Lepisosteus oculatus: one gene and its partner. The protein of the gene in region 2 purifies or fractionates together with the protein of the main gene of each other region. This does not show direct contact. Links are inferred from orthologs where the notes say so. Each region holds a gene or a part of one and is shown on either strand. Other genes may lie near its edges. The genes, in order: timmdc1 and acad9.

Region 1 (8,098 bases), on a different chromosome or scaffold from region 2:
CTTATTTATTGTTGTATTCTCGTATTTATTGTTATTGTCATCCTGTAAAGCGCTTTGAGAAGCCACCTTTAAAGGCGCTATATAAAATAAAGTTTATTATTATTATTACACTATACTCACCTCCTGTCAAAGAGTTCTTTTATTCGGTCCCAGCCAGTGTCCGGTAGCTCTGGTTTGCTGATGTATCGTGGTAGCTGCACGGCATTTTCTGCAGGAGCGCCTGAACCTACGCCATCAGCTGCCAAGACTCTTGGGAAGGGGACGAGACCCCAGAAGAGTGTGGAGTAGGAGGAGCCCCGCGGAGGCTTGTCAAGTCGAGGACATGCGGACATGCTCGCTGGGAGCCCTTGGCGATCCATCGCACCGCAGCAGCCCCAGTCTGCCTGTAACACAGTTAGGAGCCACAATGAAAGAGCTTCTTTTTTTATGCCTTTTGGAAACATACAGCTGCAGATAACTCCCACAACACTTCCACTGCCATCTCTCAACCAGCATAGCAAGCTGCACGTTAACTCTAAAATGAATACTTGACATCTCATGCAGATTATAAATACTGCTGCTCAAAAATGTTCCACTGGGCCGCCCAGGCTTTCACCAAGTTCTGTGTTCAAGGCAAGCAGAGCCCCTGGGCCTATGTCAAACTGTTGTCAGCCTACATTTCTGATGTTTTTTTTAAGGCTGAAAATTTCAGGGATGTCATGCAGCTTGAAAATGTAATTAATGTTCAAGCTCGAACCTCCACAGTGGGGAAAGCTCTCAGGTACCTAAATATCTCAATTCCACTTACTCCCATTACATGTATCCTTGGTGATTTATCAAAGGTTAAAGCAGCAATTCAGTATAAAAATACTTTCTTGACTCTGTATTACTGCTAAAAAATAATACTGCGAAAATGGGTGGACAGTAAAGGACCGTCATACAAAGAATGGATTAAAGTGGCTGTATCACAAGTTAAATTTGAAAAGATTTCATATAATTTACAGTACAGGGGAAACTTATTGAGTATAGGAATGTTTGAGGCCCATTAGAGACAAACTTGAATGGCATGGATGTTAAGAATATCAGTAGGAAGTTATTGAATTAATCTTTTCTCTCGTGTTTTAATTCGTTTTAGTGAATGTAAGAATTTGTTTTTGTCTAATCAGAAAAAAAAAGACAGTGAGAAAAAAAGTCCAAAGTTGGGGGGGATGGTGGTGGGTTTAGGGAAAAAAAGCACAAACTGAGCACAACCAGACGGCTGATGGAATAAGACTCGAAGTAAATAGCCTTTTATAATATCACTCCCATTTGAGCTGGAGAACCAAGAAAAAACTTTTTTTTGTTCCATCTTACCAACATGGAATCATTCCTGTTTCACAACAAGGCTAAACGTAGCTTTTGCTTGTACATCTTATATATTTCATTAAAGCTGCTGTTTGAGTTTTTGTCAGTGTAAGCAAAAGATTTATTTAACCTACAGCACGTCTGTGCTCCTCACACTCTCTAACCATAGGATACAGTCCATCCTAATGTGTCACAGATGTTAACAAGCCTTTCTGTCAATGGTCTCCTTGTTGGGTGGCCTAGCTATGCTGATGGCTGGAATAAAAATGCACCCCATGCTGATTTGGCCAAACCTAATTAGAAGTTCTGTTAACATTTCTGATGAGGTTTAAATGATCTAATTATGTAAATAATTATATGGGACCCATTAAGTAGAACGCTGGATTGTTTGAGGGGTGCATCTGAAGGGAAGCACTTAGGAGGATTATCTTCCAGTCAGTTTTATTGAAGTACCACATGGCTCTTTAAAATCCTGAACATAAACTCCTGAAGGAGGGCATCATCACTCACTGCAGCATTTGTGGATTAAGGATGCCTAGTTGATGTTTGTGTATTAAGGATTAAGGTATGTGTATACAAATGTACATATGAAACGTCTAAGGATTTATTAAGAAGCTCGTGTAATAGGACAAATAAAAGATCTCTTAAGAACCGCTTTATATGGGACCCATTAAGGTGAATGAATAATACCTGTAAATGTGACTAACCTACCCCCTTGCAGGACAGGGGCATCCACAGTCATAGTGCACAAATGTGTTCCACTGCAGAAAAATATTTACAAAAGTGAGAAAAACAGGAGAAACGTAGGTAATAGCCAAACTATTAGCACTGCTAACAGGCTTTATGAAAAACTGAGCTGGGGAACAGCACAAAGACAAGGTGTGCTTGCTTAAGGTTGAAGTCACACTTTTGACTAGAACTAAACTATCACTGACTGTGAATCTGTGCGTGCCCGGTTAAGTACCTCCCCCTGATGGATAGCTGAAAACCTATTTAAAACCAGAGGTGGGTTGGGGGTCCGTAACCCAACATGGAACAGTGCAATGGACAGGACAACAACAAACACAACAATACGGACTGATTGTGGATCCACAACAACAGTTAATACATAAACTTAGGAAGCATGTATATGAAAAGACAACAAGAAACAATTCAAAATAACAATAATGTCAATATAAGAATTATGAATAAGGTAATAATGCTTAGGAACAAGTAAAGGTTACATCCACTGTGCAAAGTAGAAAAAAGAAGGCTGGACAGACAACCGGTTTCTACTTTCAACTTCACAGTATTAAATTGACCTTTCCTGGTTCCTTTGCAGCCCAAGCCAGCTGACTCAGCTCCCCGCTCCAGCGTCATGCTAACAATACTGTCCCCGTCTCCCAGTGAGTTCCAGGATGGCATGGACAAGATGCACAGGTGAGTAACCTACACATGAATAAATGTGTGCACAGTACAGTATCCACAGGTGTGAAAGACCTCCTCTCTTGGGAGGTCAGGTGAAGGTATGAGACAGCCCTTCACGACAAATACGTTTCTTAATAAGCTCCTGCAGTAATGTTACCCAGCACAGACGGATAGGAGGATACCCTTAAGCGTCTTTATTTTTCCCGCTGAGAATGGTGTGGGTCTGGTATTTCAATCACCTGCGCATGAGTGCAGTGATTTGCATTTGATTCTTATTAAAAATATCAGGACTAGTTGGACGGGCTGGCTGGTTCACAATCTCTTTACACCGAGAGGCAGGTGTTCACAAACAAAACCATGAGTCACAAACGCCACAAAGCCACCTCACAACTTGAACGGGAACTGACATTGTGCTTTTCATCCCAAAGAGGTTTACTGTACATACAGTATTGACCCACTTCAGGACAGCTCCTGCCTGGGAGACACTCACCTCTCTAAGAGTTAGGCCTTATCCCACTCACCTGGAAGTTGTTCTGTGACATGGTCCGAGGACATTCCAACCCTGTCACTGGCTTATTGTTATTGCTCGTTTAATATTTATACTGTTCTAAAACAACATTCTTCTGAACTAAAACATAAGATCATCGCTTTCTCAGCCTTATTTCTCAGAACCCTTTTCTCTCTCCCAAACTTAAAATCTGTGTTTTCACTACAGATGAAACTCTGTAGCGCAATATAACTAATGTGTGTAACTCTAATTTGTTATGAAAGACTACAAACAAATATTGAAATACACCAAATATTTTAGAAATTGGACTTCTGGTGTTGTAAAGCAAAATACTTCTGGAATGTTTTTAAACTTTAATTCTTACCCTTCCGGGATTTAAAAATAAGTAAAACAAATGTATTTCTTCCAGAAAGTTTATCATTTGTAATGTATTTATCAGCAGCTGAGACAGAAACCGGTTAATAATGTACTTGTATATTACTGAAATGCACCTGTGCATCATTAATTTTTGTTACTATCATTTTTCCCCACCAGCAAATGTAACATGTATTCAAGTTCATTTTGTTACCTTATCAATATGCAGTAAAGCAATCAAAAAACAAAACTGTAAAATATTAACATACAACACTGCAATACCTTATCTGAGAAATATCGTGCTTCAAAGTTGAGAAAATTTCCCATCATCTAAAAGTTTGTTTTGCGTTAGTCTGTTTATATTTCTAACACAACTGTATGAGACACCTTCAATTTGCATCACCTGTACACCACAGATAGGCTAAAATTCAAGCAATGGCTGTAATCAAATTTCAATTCAATATACTGCAGAATGTAAGACGTATTTCTGTATTCAATCAAATTAATAATATAGACGCAAACACACTTGGAAGTCAAGGTCAGGCCACTTAAAATTCAAGGTTATACTAGTAATACATTTTACAATTATGACAAAAATGCTACTATAGCTCAATGTACAGGTTGCATAAATTTTCATTTTCACCATAGAAATAGTATTTATGAACGTATAAAATTAATAATACTGATATTAGCTGTTCCACTAGCATACATTTCAGAAAGGAATTTAAGAACAGGCGATGCTACCGGTGCAAGAGCTTAATTATCTTTAAAATAATCGGAAGCAAATACAATGGACTTTAGAAAGCTAAAGCATGTGTGTGAAAAGAGCGACCTACTTATCTGTGTACCTGAAATAACATTTATACAGCGACAAAAATATTATACACCACTTAAGTCGCATCACATCTACGGCTCATATTCGCTGATATTAAGAAAATTGATTTTAAACTTTAATCAGATACACTTTAACGAATGTATTCAGACATAACGTTCTCAAGCACATTTATACCTTATCCAGAACAGCTTCTCGGGGAAACCCACAATGTCAAAGCTTGTTGTCAGAATTAAAGAGAAAGTTTCCGCGATATGAAGCAGAAAATAATTAGATCGCCACCTATTGTTGGAGGACGAAACTACAGGGATATAAAATGAGCTTAAGACGCGAGAGCGAGTGACCTAGTTTGAGGTAAATCGATGAAAATCGTGGAAAGTCAAAATAACGCCTTGAAAAGAGAATGAGGATAAAACAGACATGAAATAAAAGTTTGTCATTCATTTTGTGCTGCTGAATGGATAAAAGTATGTTAATACATGCATGACTATAAACACAAAATTCAAGTTTCTGACAGGTGGCACCGAACTGGAAGAAGAAATCCCGAGCAAGATCGTTTAGGTTAACTTTTTTTTTTTTTCAGCTAGGCACTTTGGAGAAACGATAAAATGGCCAACAAAACTTTGATATAGGAAGAATGTATTATTTGAATCGATGGGGTGTCAGGTTAAATTATACAATGCATTAGACTTCACTTGGAGTACAGTGTATACTCCGGTCACCACTCATCAAGACATTGCTGTTCTAGAGCAGTAAAAAAGAGAGCAACCAAACTAACTTTTTACTGAAGGCAGTCTCATGCGCAGACAAATTAAGGGAGTCAGACTTTTTGCCTGGAACAGAAAAGATTATGCTGTATTCCAAATCCCAAAAGGCAGTAGCTACAGTAGGTCAGCTCAGAGTTACTATATGCCCCAGGGGTCCTTTCTTTAAACAAAAGGATCATGGGAGCCTGGAACTAACTTAGCCAGTATATTATCTTTATGGGATCCTTCCAGACAGTGATAAATGGAATTCTATATTGATTGCTGAGCTGATCTATGTGTGCCAGTGTCAGGAACTGATGTTGTACCATGTGCAGCAATACACAAATTTATACCCAGAGGCATTAAAATGCAATAAATGAGCATTAGCACCAGTAGCATTCGTTGCTCTTGTAATGCGTTTATTCATACGATAATGCCAAGACTGACACCTGCAGAATGAGAAGGAGGAGATGCAGGGAGTTTAGTACAGTATGTAAGGTTGGAAGATCGCTTCGCCCACCTCATGTCTACAGGATAACAGGGCTGTAAAAATTGCTAACAGGTAGGCAGTCCTGTGATCAGGATGACGTGTGATGCTGGACTATGGCAGCAATGGTGATTAAACACCTTTCAGATGAGCCTGTCAAATTAAACCTCATCTCCCAGGTCTAGGATACTCATCCTCACAGTGCAACATACATCTCTTCAGACACTCGCTCAGCAGGCGAGCTGGTGCCGGATGATTTCGGATGCTAATATTAACCAGAGCCTGGTTAGAAATCTGGGCCCTGATTTCTCAAAACCAGCACCTTGCAGCACCTTGCTGCTTTTGCAAAGCTGTGCTATAATTCATTTTCAAAGCAATTAAAGTCATGTATGACACATTAACACATTTCTGCTGCATGATACACAGGTTAGGCTCAGGCCACACCACATAACGAATTGAAGAATTTATGTGCAAAAGAAATGAGAGAACCATGAGGGAACTGTGATCATTGTGCTTTGAGGTATATTTTGAGACTGTAAATTTATAATATCTAGAAAGGTGACTTAGAAGGAATGAGACCAAATTTATGAGAAGTAAAATGTAATGGGATAGATATGAAATCAGTAAAGAATGATAAATAAATTTGAAGCACTGCAAATTTAGCTCCAACTGAGTATATGATGCAGTGTACTTAGATTTCCAGAAGTTTTTTTTTTTAAGTTCCTCATTAAAAATTAACTCTTAAATTGCAAGTGCTCAGTTGATGCAATGACACTTGGAGACACACTAGTGTTTGGATTGAAAATTCGTTATTAAATAAAAAAACAGAGGATATACATTAGTGTGAAAACACAACATGGGGTGACGTAATGGAGTACCACAGGAATCTGTACTAGGACCACTACGCTTCTTAATTTATATCAATGATCAATTATTTGTAGATGATACCACTTAAGGAGGTTTGGCAAACACTGTAAAACCTGCAAATTAAATTCCAAAAGGTTTAAATAAAATGTAAAGATTGGGAACACAACTGGAAAATAATGCTTAATGAAGACAAGTGTGGGATTTTACATCCAGTAAAGAAAAATAAGTTTTTAATACAAAATTGGAAACACTGCGAAAGAAGAGGTAACCTATGAAAAAGTTGCATACAGGTGTCTTCTGAGACATTATTTACATCTTCTACACAATGTGAGAAAGGAATTAAAATGGCAAACAGTCTGCTAGAATACATAACATTAAATGACAGAATATACTGACAAAGATAACCTTGCATATTTATTCAGAATGGACAGTGAAAGGGACCTGCCAACTGCATGGAGTTTGTATGTTTTCCCCATGTTTGCCTGGATTTCCCCTGGGTACTCTGGTTTCCTCCTACAGTCCTACAACAAACTGGTAGGTTAATTGTCTTTGTAGGAAAATTGGCCCTAGGTATGAGTGTGCGTTTGTGTCTGTGTGTCTGCTCTATGATAGACAAACGTCCCATCCAAGGGGTACCCTGCCTTGGGCCAGTTGGTTGCCGGGATAGATGGCTAGATGGAAAACACATAAAAACTAAAATATTTAAAAAATTACTCCCTAGAAAACTGGAAACCCCATAGAAACAGATGGGAAATATATGCACTTAAAGTACTTAAAACATAAATATGAAAATACTCATAAAACATGAATACTGAGATGTATCATTTTATTAATCAACCTAAGTATCTTACTGTATGTAACAATATCTTGTCTCTTAGCTATGTCACCAGACTAAAACACCACTTTAATCTTCAGTTAAATAAAAATAATAATTAAAAAAAAATATTAAAAAATAATCAATGTAATCTTCTTTCAACTAGTGGTTAATGTTCTTAATTTCTTTTACAACATTTAATGCAAAGAGAAAAGAGTAAACGTCTGTCTGGCAGAAGAACTGGTTTAATAATACCAGCACAAGAGGGGTTAAGTCAGGGCTGTTGTACTGTATTTATCTCTGGTAGTCTGTTTGATTACAACATGGTTTTACACAATCTTGGTAAAGTTTATCATAACAAATCTCCAGGAATCACAATTTCCACACTAGTGGTTCTGTTATACCCTTCTCAGATTTGGAATGTACTAACTTTTGCCAGTGTTCTCAGGGCCTGAAATTGTTCTCGTAGTATGTGGTTCTGGCTGAGCTGCTCTGCATTTGATCAAAAACTCTTCACAGGAGCTTATGGGAGACGCCCTACCCTCATATAGAGCAATCGGCTCAGACCAAAAACAAAATGTAAAAATGGAATAAAAGAAACTTTGAGATTAAAGTGACATTCACGGCTAAATTTGCAATCCCACCTAGCGGGGACAGGAGCAGAACATATTTTTGTATAGCTGGCTAACCAGCATATAAGATCAGTGACTTTGAATTCAATTATGAGCAGGAGAAAGAGTTTGGTGGTCTCAGTTGGGCT
Region 2 (7,722 bases):
TATTTTGAAACGTATCAGAGACAGAGCATTGACATCATATGACTCACACTTTTACGCCATATTCAGAGGGGCAACGATTAAAGTGCAACAACATGAGCAAACTGAGTCCCAGATGAGACGCTTTTCTCATGAATTATGGCAAACCGTTCCAATCAAAATTTGAACACACTGATGGGCTTGAAATCAAAAGATCAGTTGGTTAAATATCATGATCACAACAATCCACACTTAATTTGGATAGAAATGGTTCAGATCAAAAGCGCAAGCCTGTGAAGAGAGATGGGGCTTTGAGAAAAAGCCATCTGTTAATGGAAACAAACCCATGGAACGAGGCAGTCCTGTTCTTGATTGAGTAATTAAACTGGAAGGACAGGATCGTTGAAGAACGTGCTAGTCCACTGGGCTAATTAAGAGGCTTATAAGAACAGGCAGAAGAAAAAGGGCTCCAGAGACAGTGTCTAAAATCTAGGCTGTCAGAAGAGGGTAAATGAGAGTAATTAGTAAGAAGTAATGGATATACTGGCTCAAAGGCCTGGGAGACTCAGCAGGTTAGGGGTGTTTGAGAAGATACAGCTTGGGTCTGTACTCGAGGGCTGCCACAGGGGCTGGACAGGTGGCTGTTTGGCAGAATGTCAGCCAGGCTTCATGAGGATGAAGGCACTGTGGAGGAGAGAGGTGGGTGGACCTTCTCAACCAAGGCCGATGGGAGGCGTTGGGACCTGCAGGAGTCGGGCATTGCTTGTTATTGTAGTGTACTCTCCTCCCACAGGCAAGAGAAACTGGAGTTAAGATGACGGGCTGAATCCTGACTCATCCCTGTGTCTCAACATCAGCAGATAGGCAGTCCCAGAATGTGACATTTGAGAGAACCCCAAACTGGCTGCTGCTGCTGTATAAGGAGTGCAGGTTTTGATTAAAGAGGTGCGTTTTTCCAGCCAAATCGGATTGGCAGGAAGAGTCGGCAATAGGAAAAAAAGACCACATGCTTGGTTAAGAGCGGCACAGTTGTTGTTGTATTTGATGTGAAGATTGAGAACTGAGCATTAGGGGTTAAGCCATGTTGAATACTCCAGTATCTTTGAGTTCATGTGAATATTGCAAATGGGTGATGTTAAATTTAAATTTCAGTGCCTTCCGATTAAAAAAAAAAATCAATTTCATCTGAACTCTTAATAAGAAATAGAAGGTAACTGAGCAAATACAAAAGCGCGATCTTATATACATGGAACGGCGTTAAAAAACAACTGAGAAGGAAGAAACCTCTCTTCCTTGAGAGGGGACTAATGTGGTGGATCGAGAATCACAGAGAGGGAGAAGACAATGTTGGCAATGATGGATGTATGGTAATATGTCTATTGGCACTGACACAGTGACTACATATTATTTGCATTGTTAAATTATTTGATGCGCACATCTGTAACTCGACACGCTTAAAATATTGCATGAGCAGGCAGTTATTTCCTTATATCTGTCTTAACCTCCTCACCATATTCCTCAGGAATCTGGATTCCAAAGAGACCTAGTTCTTTTAATCCAGTCATTGTTTCTGGAGGGATTGTAGCTTCATGGTCAATCCTTTTGGAATCCACTGGAAAAGGGAACATGAAAGTTTCAGAGAAATAATTATGCAGATAATTAAAAAATAGCATTTGTTTATGGCCCAATATGGTCTGGTATACCAAGAATACAGGACATGAACTAAACTTCAAATACATTGCGTTTTACAAATAGAATTATAGTGTAGTTTCACATTAGTCATACGTTGAGATTTATCTAAAGTAAATTAAAGGCTCAGGATGAGAGTTAATTGAGTTAATTATGATCTAACTGCCTTTAGATTTGACTGTAACTGAGGTGTTTCAAAAATCATATTTGCTTTTGCCTTAATAGAGCCAAGACCATGCACACTACCTTGAATTCTCACTATACTTAAAGAAAGCTATTTTATTCCCAGGGTCTCGCCAGGTTTCAACTTTGGGGTATCGAACTCATGTAGCCATTTTGCAATTGTTCTGTTTCCAAACTTGTCCTCACCGCCTACCATCTTCGTTGAAAAAACGTTCCACTGGTGCAACAAGCTGATTAATTTCTTCTAGTTCTTCCCTGCTGATTTCTGGATAGGGAAAAACTTCTTTCTACAAAAGAAGACAATGCATTAATTACACCAGACACTCAAATGGATTCCACATATATGGAAATGTATACTGTCAAGAATCCATTCTACATCATAACACTGTTAAAGACAGTAAAGTCAGATACACTACTTGTACTGTACGCCAGACTGATTATTCTCTTAGATATATTACACTAAACAAATGATGATCAGATACGTTATTGTGCTAATGTAACAATCGCGAAAAACGTCCTGCTATATTACTTTGCTGTATTATATTGTGAAGAGAAAGAAATGGTAAAAGAAAGCTGCACGGCCGAAACGTTGTGTTTTCTCTCTTCTCTTTTCAGCATGGAATAAACCTATTAATTGTTCCTTTGCAGCCTACGCATGCTGACGCAACTACCCACCTGAACTATACATGACATATTTAAATATATATATAAAAAACTTGCAATCTAATTTAACATCCGTTATTGCTCCAAAATAAGGTGGTGTCATACATTACTAAAACACAATCTATTCTAATTCCAATATTTTCTAAGCAGAATATATATGTGGTAGAATTTGTATAGTAGACACAAGTACAATTCGAAAGATATTCTGATGAAAACAGAATACAGCTTATCAGAACACTGAACTTTTTTAATCGTGGCTTACAAACACCGACTAGGTATGTAAGTGAATCTGTATTACTACTTACCTTGTTGATTTGACCAAGAAACAGGTCCTTAGCATACGCCAGACTCCTCCCATGAGTCTTGAAATACCGTTGAGTTTGCAAACAAGCTCTGTAACCTTCATTTCCTATTAGTCCAACTCGGAGGGTCAACAGATTCCTCCATAATTTCACTGATTTAGAAAACCTAAAAAGCCCGTTCAAGCTCATTGTCATATCAGCCAACTCAAAGCACTTTTCTCCTTCAGCCCTCCAAAGACCTTTCACCCCTTTCTGTCGCAGTGTGATGACATAAGCAGACGTGGAACAAAAATACCATGCAATACTATTCACAACCACAAGATGGAGCGCTTTAACCAACTGCGATCTAAAGCAATTCAAAAAGACGGACTGAAAATTTCAATACAATGTGGAGCTCACTTCAGTTGCAGCTGACTAATCTAGAAGACCAGTGAGACAATTACAAAGAATGGATTTGTTTGTCCTTTAAGGATACACAACATAACACTGAAACTGGTAGCTGGGATAATTTATACCAATAATTTTCTTTTGACGCTGTTGATTGCTTCTGTTGTAACCAAGGGTAATATTTGATACATTACATTTTGGCTGTGTAGCTGTCTTCATGTTTATGAAAAGATTCCCAGTAGAAACACGTTTATCTTTCATTTTCTTTTCCATGTGGAATTAACCTCTGCTTGGTCTTTGAGGCTCAGTTAATAAAGACTGACTCAACATCTCCACACTCTAAACTGCACGAAGTACTGACACTGAATATGTTCAATACATTTGACTTCCTAAAAGCTACAATAACACATCTTGCACGCTCACGTTTAATTTTTAGTCTAGCCCAGAGCCTACTAAAAGATTCTCAAAAATATCAATGAAGATAAATTATTAATTCTGTTTCATAAATGCTCTGACGAAGTAGAAATAATTTATTCCTCGTGAGATTAAAGATGGTGAGAGAGGGGGGGAGGTACAGATGATGTACAGACCTGAGCATTTGCTGTATTATCCCGTGGGAAAAGAAAAACAGCCATCTTTTCCATGCTGCACACTGGTGTTTATATCATTTTATATCATTGTACCTAACCTCATTCACCTGTTTGGAATCCTGTTAACTGTGATTTTTAGATCACAAGTGGATTTATTATATCGTTTTACACTATAATCCAATTGGCAGAGGAGAAGCTTATTATATGAAATTTATGTTTAGGCCAGTGTTCTCAGGTTTTTAAAGTTGACTTTCCCTGTAATCATTCTTGGGGTAGCAACTGAGAAATGGAAAATATTCAAAAACATTAACATGGTGGTTCTCTGTTATTAATTTCTGATATTTTCTAGAGGGTAGTGCATACAAGAGAAAGTCAATTGCCATTTTCAAATAAAGAATTTTTGAGGGAGCTGTGCATAACAGACCTTGAAAAGAAAAAAAAACATGTATACAGTATATATATTCAATATAGGAACAAGTAATAGGTTTATTCCATGCTGAAAAGAGAAGAAAGTAAACACAATGTTTTTCGGCTGTGGAGCCTTCTTCGGGTGTGAGCCCTACATATATACTATATATTCAATATATATTTCCTTCTAAAGATCCAAATTTCTTAGAAGAAACACTCACCTGAAATCCACTTCCAAAGTTTCTCTCCTTCTTATTGCACCATGCAATTAATACATATCTCCAAAGTTCTGAAAGGAGTAGCCTAAGACATAATTTTATTCCAGTGTTGGCTTTGTAATCTACAGTCTCCTCCCTGGTTACTCGTCAGTTCTGTGGTCAATCAGTCCAGGCCAATCGCTATCGCTCAGGAAGATACTATTAGCTCATGTGTGTTTGCTTCCTAATTGTACGGACAGTGTATGTAATACTAGGCAATAAGCTTAGAAACTGATGACCAATATTACATGAACTATTTTGCTAAAATCAAATTCGTAGTACTGCATGTTGTATTGCCTGGTTATATTTATTCGAGGATGTCACACAGGTCTAATCATAATCTGTGTCCTTTTCTAAACAATTCTTTATGCTTTTTCAATAAAAAAACACCTTGTGTCTCAGATAGCTCATGGAATATTTGTGAAGGTCATAAAACATTCCAGTTTTCTTTTACTGCAGTGTAAAATTTTCACAGTTCCAAAAATACACATTTCCACGGATTTATTGTTTTTTATAATCAGAATACTTCAGTTTCATATTAAGCTTAATATACAATTCCATGCATGGGAAACAGGGTGTATTTATGTGTTTTACAAAGCATGGTTTATATCCATTCAGTCTTAAAACGCCTGCAAATTTGAATTGAGTTCTTCAGAGTATTATGCTTTTTGTGTGGAAGTCATGCAGGTGAAGTCTTTGGATGGCTTCTAGTACTGGACATTGAACATGTTGGTTTATTGTTAGCAAAAAATACTTAAATGTTTTAAAAAATGATAGTTACATTATAATTTTTCTAGTTTATAAAGGTTTTCCTTTTGTTTATTAAATTGGATTTTCTGTACTCTGAATCACCACTTAATGATTGTCGTTACTATTAAATATCCTTATTACTGTATGTGATCAAGACCAAGGTTCTTAAGATATCCAATCCCAGAGTAAAACTCTTAGTGTTGCACCAAAGTGACAAGTACAGCAATTTACTGAGTATCTGGTGGACTGACCTTGTCAGTATAGCTGACACTTTCAGAGTATTTGAGAAATTTGCATTTCTTCACAAGACATGAATGAATTTTAAAAGCATCATAAGCTGGACTTGTCAGTCACTTTGATAGCTTTAGGATTCTGGAATGAATTCAAAACCAAGCAGTGTTGTTTTGTTATCGGGAACAGAGGGGCATTAAAGTTCACGAGCTGTCTTTCAACAAATAAATACTGCTAAGCTGATGTCCCGGATAGTTTTTGCACATTCTAAAAAATGCTGTATGTACAGTGTAATATTTTTATATGAGGTTATAACTTTAATAACAAAAGGATAGAGCTTTGTAGTCCAGGTGCAATACCTCTTTTTACAACTGAAAAAAATCATCATTGTAATTTCTAAAACACATGCAACATACTCTTCACTTTTGCACAATAAATCTGTTGAATATTACCTATTTAGTACATCAAAGTGCTCAGAATGTCATTTTATGTAGAATTAAAAATTACATTTTTGCAAAACCAGATATATATGAAGTGAATTTGTACTCACCTTATGTTCAACTGTAGGTATCAAATTTTAACACAGTACAAATTTTAAATTTAGTACAGGACATGATTATCTGACAATGCCAGAGATTTATAAAGCTTACAAATGCAGGAATGCATTATAGTATGCATGGTATACAAGCTTTCTACTGTGGCTGTGTTTCTATGGGGGCTGTACTAATGTGATACAGGTTATAGGAACGTTCTGTAATGCAACAGATAAAGATCTGATCATTTTATCTTCATTTAATAGTGTGGGGATTGTAAAAATGGCTTTACAGAAACCTCAACCATTGCCCCAGCAGGTTACCTACAATTTTAATCTTGTTCACCTCACCGAGAGCTAAGATACACACCACAGCCACAGCACTTTTCAAAGACTAGTGCATGTCATTCACACAACCCTGGGGTGCAGCTTACCTTTATTAAGCTTCCCAATGTGTAAGAACTCCCAGAGGTAGGATTTGAAGAGGAGAGAGAGAAAGTCTTTCAAAAACTTAAAAAAGCCCATAAAATGGCTTTTTAAATTGACCAAAGAAAAGCCTTTATACTATAGCACAGGAATATGGTGTGATTTCTGTGTGTATGTGTGTTAGCAATTGGGAAAAAGAAATAATCTCATTCCTAACCACAATTATGATTTGCAAGTATTTTTAAAGAACTTTTTTCCTGGCACCATTATACCAACAAATAAATTAATATAATGGTATGCTTTTTTTGTAGTAATTAAGTTGATAAATTATTCCCTTAGAAGAAATTTAATGCTTTTATTAGGTATAGACTGTTAAGCATTAAAACTCTGCATTATTTTGAGTTTCACCTGAGCTTTTTTAAATTTCCATTCTTATGGATATGTAGTGCTGCCTAATTTGGGGAAATGCCCCTAATGTACCCCCTAATTTGGGGGAATGCTTGAACACCCCCCAAAATTCAAGGATGATTGTAAACAACAATGCAACTGCCACCACATCTCAACATCTGCTTGGTCTCTTAATTACTTTACAATCTGGATGCGAATTTAGGTGTTCAACAATAAACTTAAACCCCATTTTCATATTTTAAAGACACCAAAATTTAGACATTACAAAATGACCGTTTAAAAAATGTAAAGGTGGAAATAGAAAAATGCTTTATAGTGTATAGATTTATAAAACCACTTCGTATAGGAGGTCTGAATAGGAGGTCTGAAGAATCTTTCACAATCCAGGGCTTTTACATATTGTAGATATTTTCTTGCCTATATTTGACTTTTACATTTTTTATTTCTTGTAATATGACCTATGTATCCTTCTCACAAAGTAAAAAATGATCACCTGATGCAGAATATGGAGAACACGTAGTATGTCAGTGTGATCAACAGGTAAATGCTGCTTATGGGTGACAGATGTACAGTAAATGTTGTGAAAATGGGATGCTGAAATAGTTTCATGTTGGTTTTTTCACCCTGTAAAAATGACAAATGCAGGAGTCTTATACTGTTTATTTTGCGTTCTCCACATGATCACAGTTATAGTTTTACATCGATAGGGTCTTATTAACTACTTACAAACAGAATGCATATTAAAATGAAAGCACTCCTCTCTCCTCTTGTACTTACAAAATGGGTTCTGAGCCTGAAAGAATAGAAGTGGCTCATGACAAGCATGAAAAGCTGTGCTAATTCTTTAACAGTCTGTTCTTAAGACCTAAATCCTATAACAGTTCAATACAGTTTAACGCAGAAGCAAGCTAAATGTTAGT

Evidence for each region.
Region 1: the proteins of acad9 (region 2) and timmdc1 purify together in Homo sapiens (affinity purification with mass spectrometry; 3 studies listed by BioGRID and IntAct, counting the BioPlex papers as one, with this or other methods). This does not show direct contact. The link is inferred for Lepisosteus oculatus from reciprocal best matches to the Homo sapiens genes ACAD9 and TIMMDC1.

The regions. Positions count from the first base shown.
Region 1 is NC_090710.1:18,098,744-18,106,841, reverse strand, and holds the start of timmdc1 (complex I assembly factor TIMMDC1, mitochondrial), read right to left. Parts: upstream 3,288-8,098; 5' UTR 3,273-3,287; coding exon 3,252-3,272; intron 2,071-3,251; exon of another isoform or gene 2,056-2,070; coding exon of another isoform or gene 2,035-2,055; intron 384-2,034; coding exon 121-383; intron 1-120.
Region 2 is NC_090699.1:62,456,889-62,464,610, forward strand, and holds the start of acad9 (complex I assembly factor ACAD9, mitochondrial), read right to left. Parts: upstream 3,070-7,722; 5' UTR 3,009-3,069; coding exon 2,817-3,008; intron 2,136-2,816; coding exon 2,042-2,135; intron 1,589-2,041; coding exon 1,487-1,588; intron 1-1,486. UniProt on the Homo sapiens protein: As part of the MCIA complex, primarily participates in the assembly of the mitochondrial complex I and therefore plays a role in oxidative phosphorylation.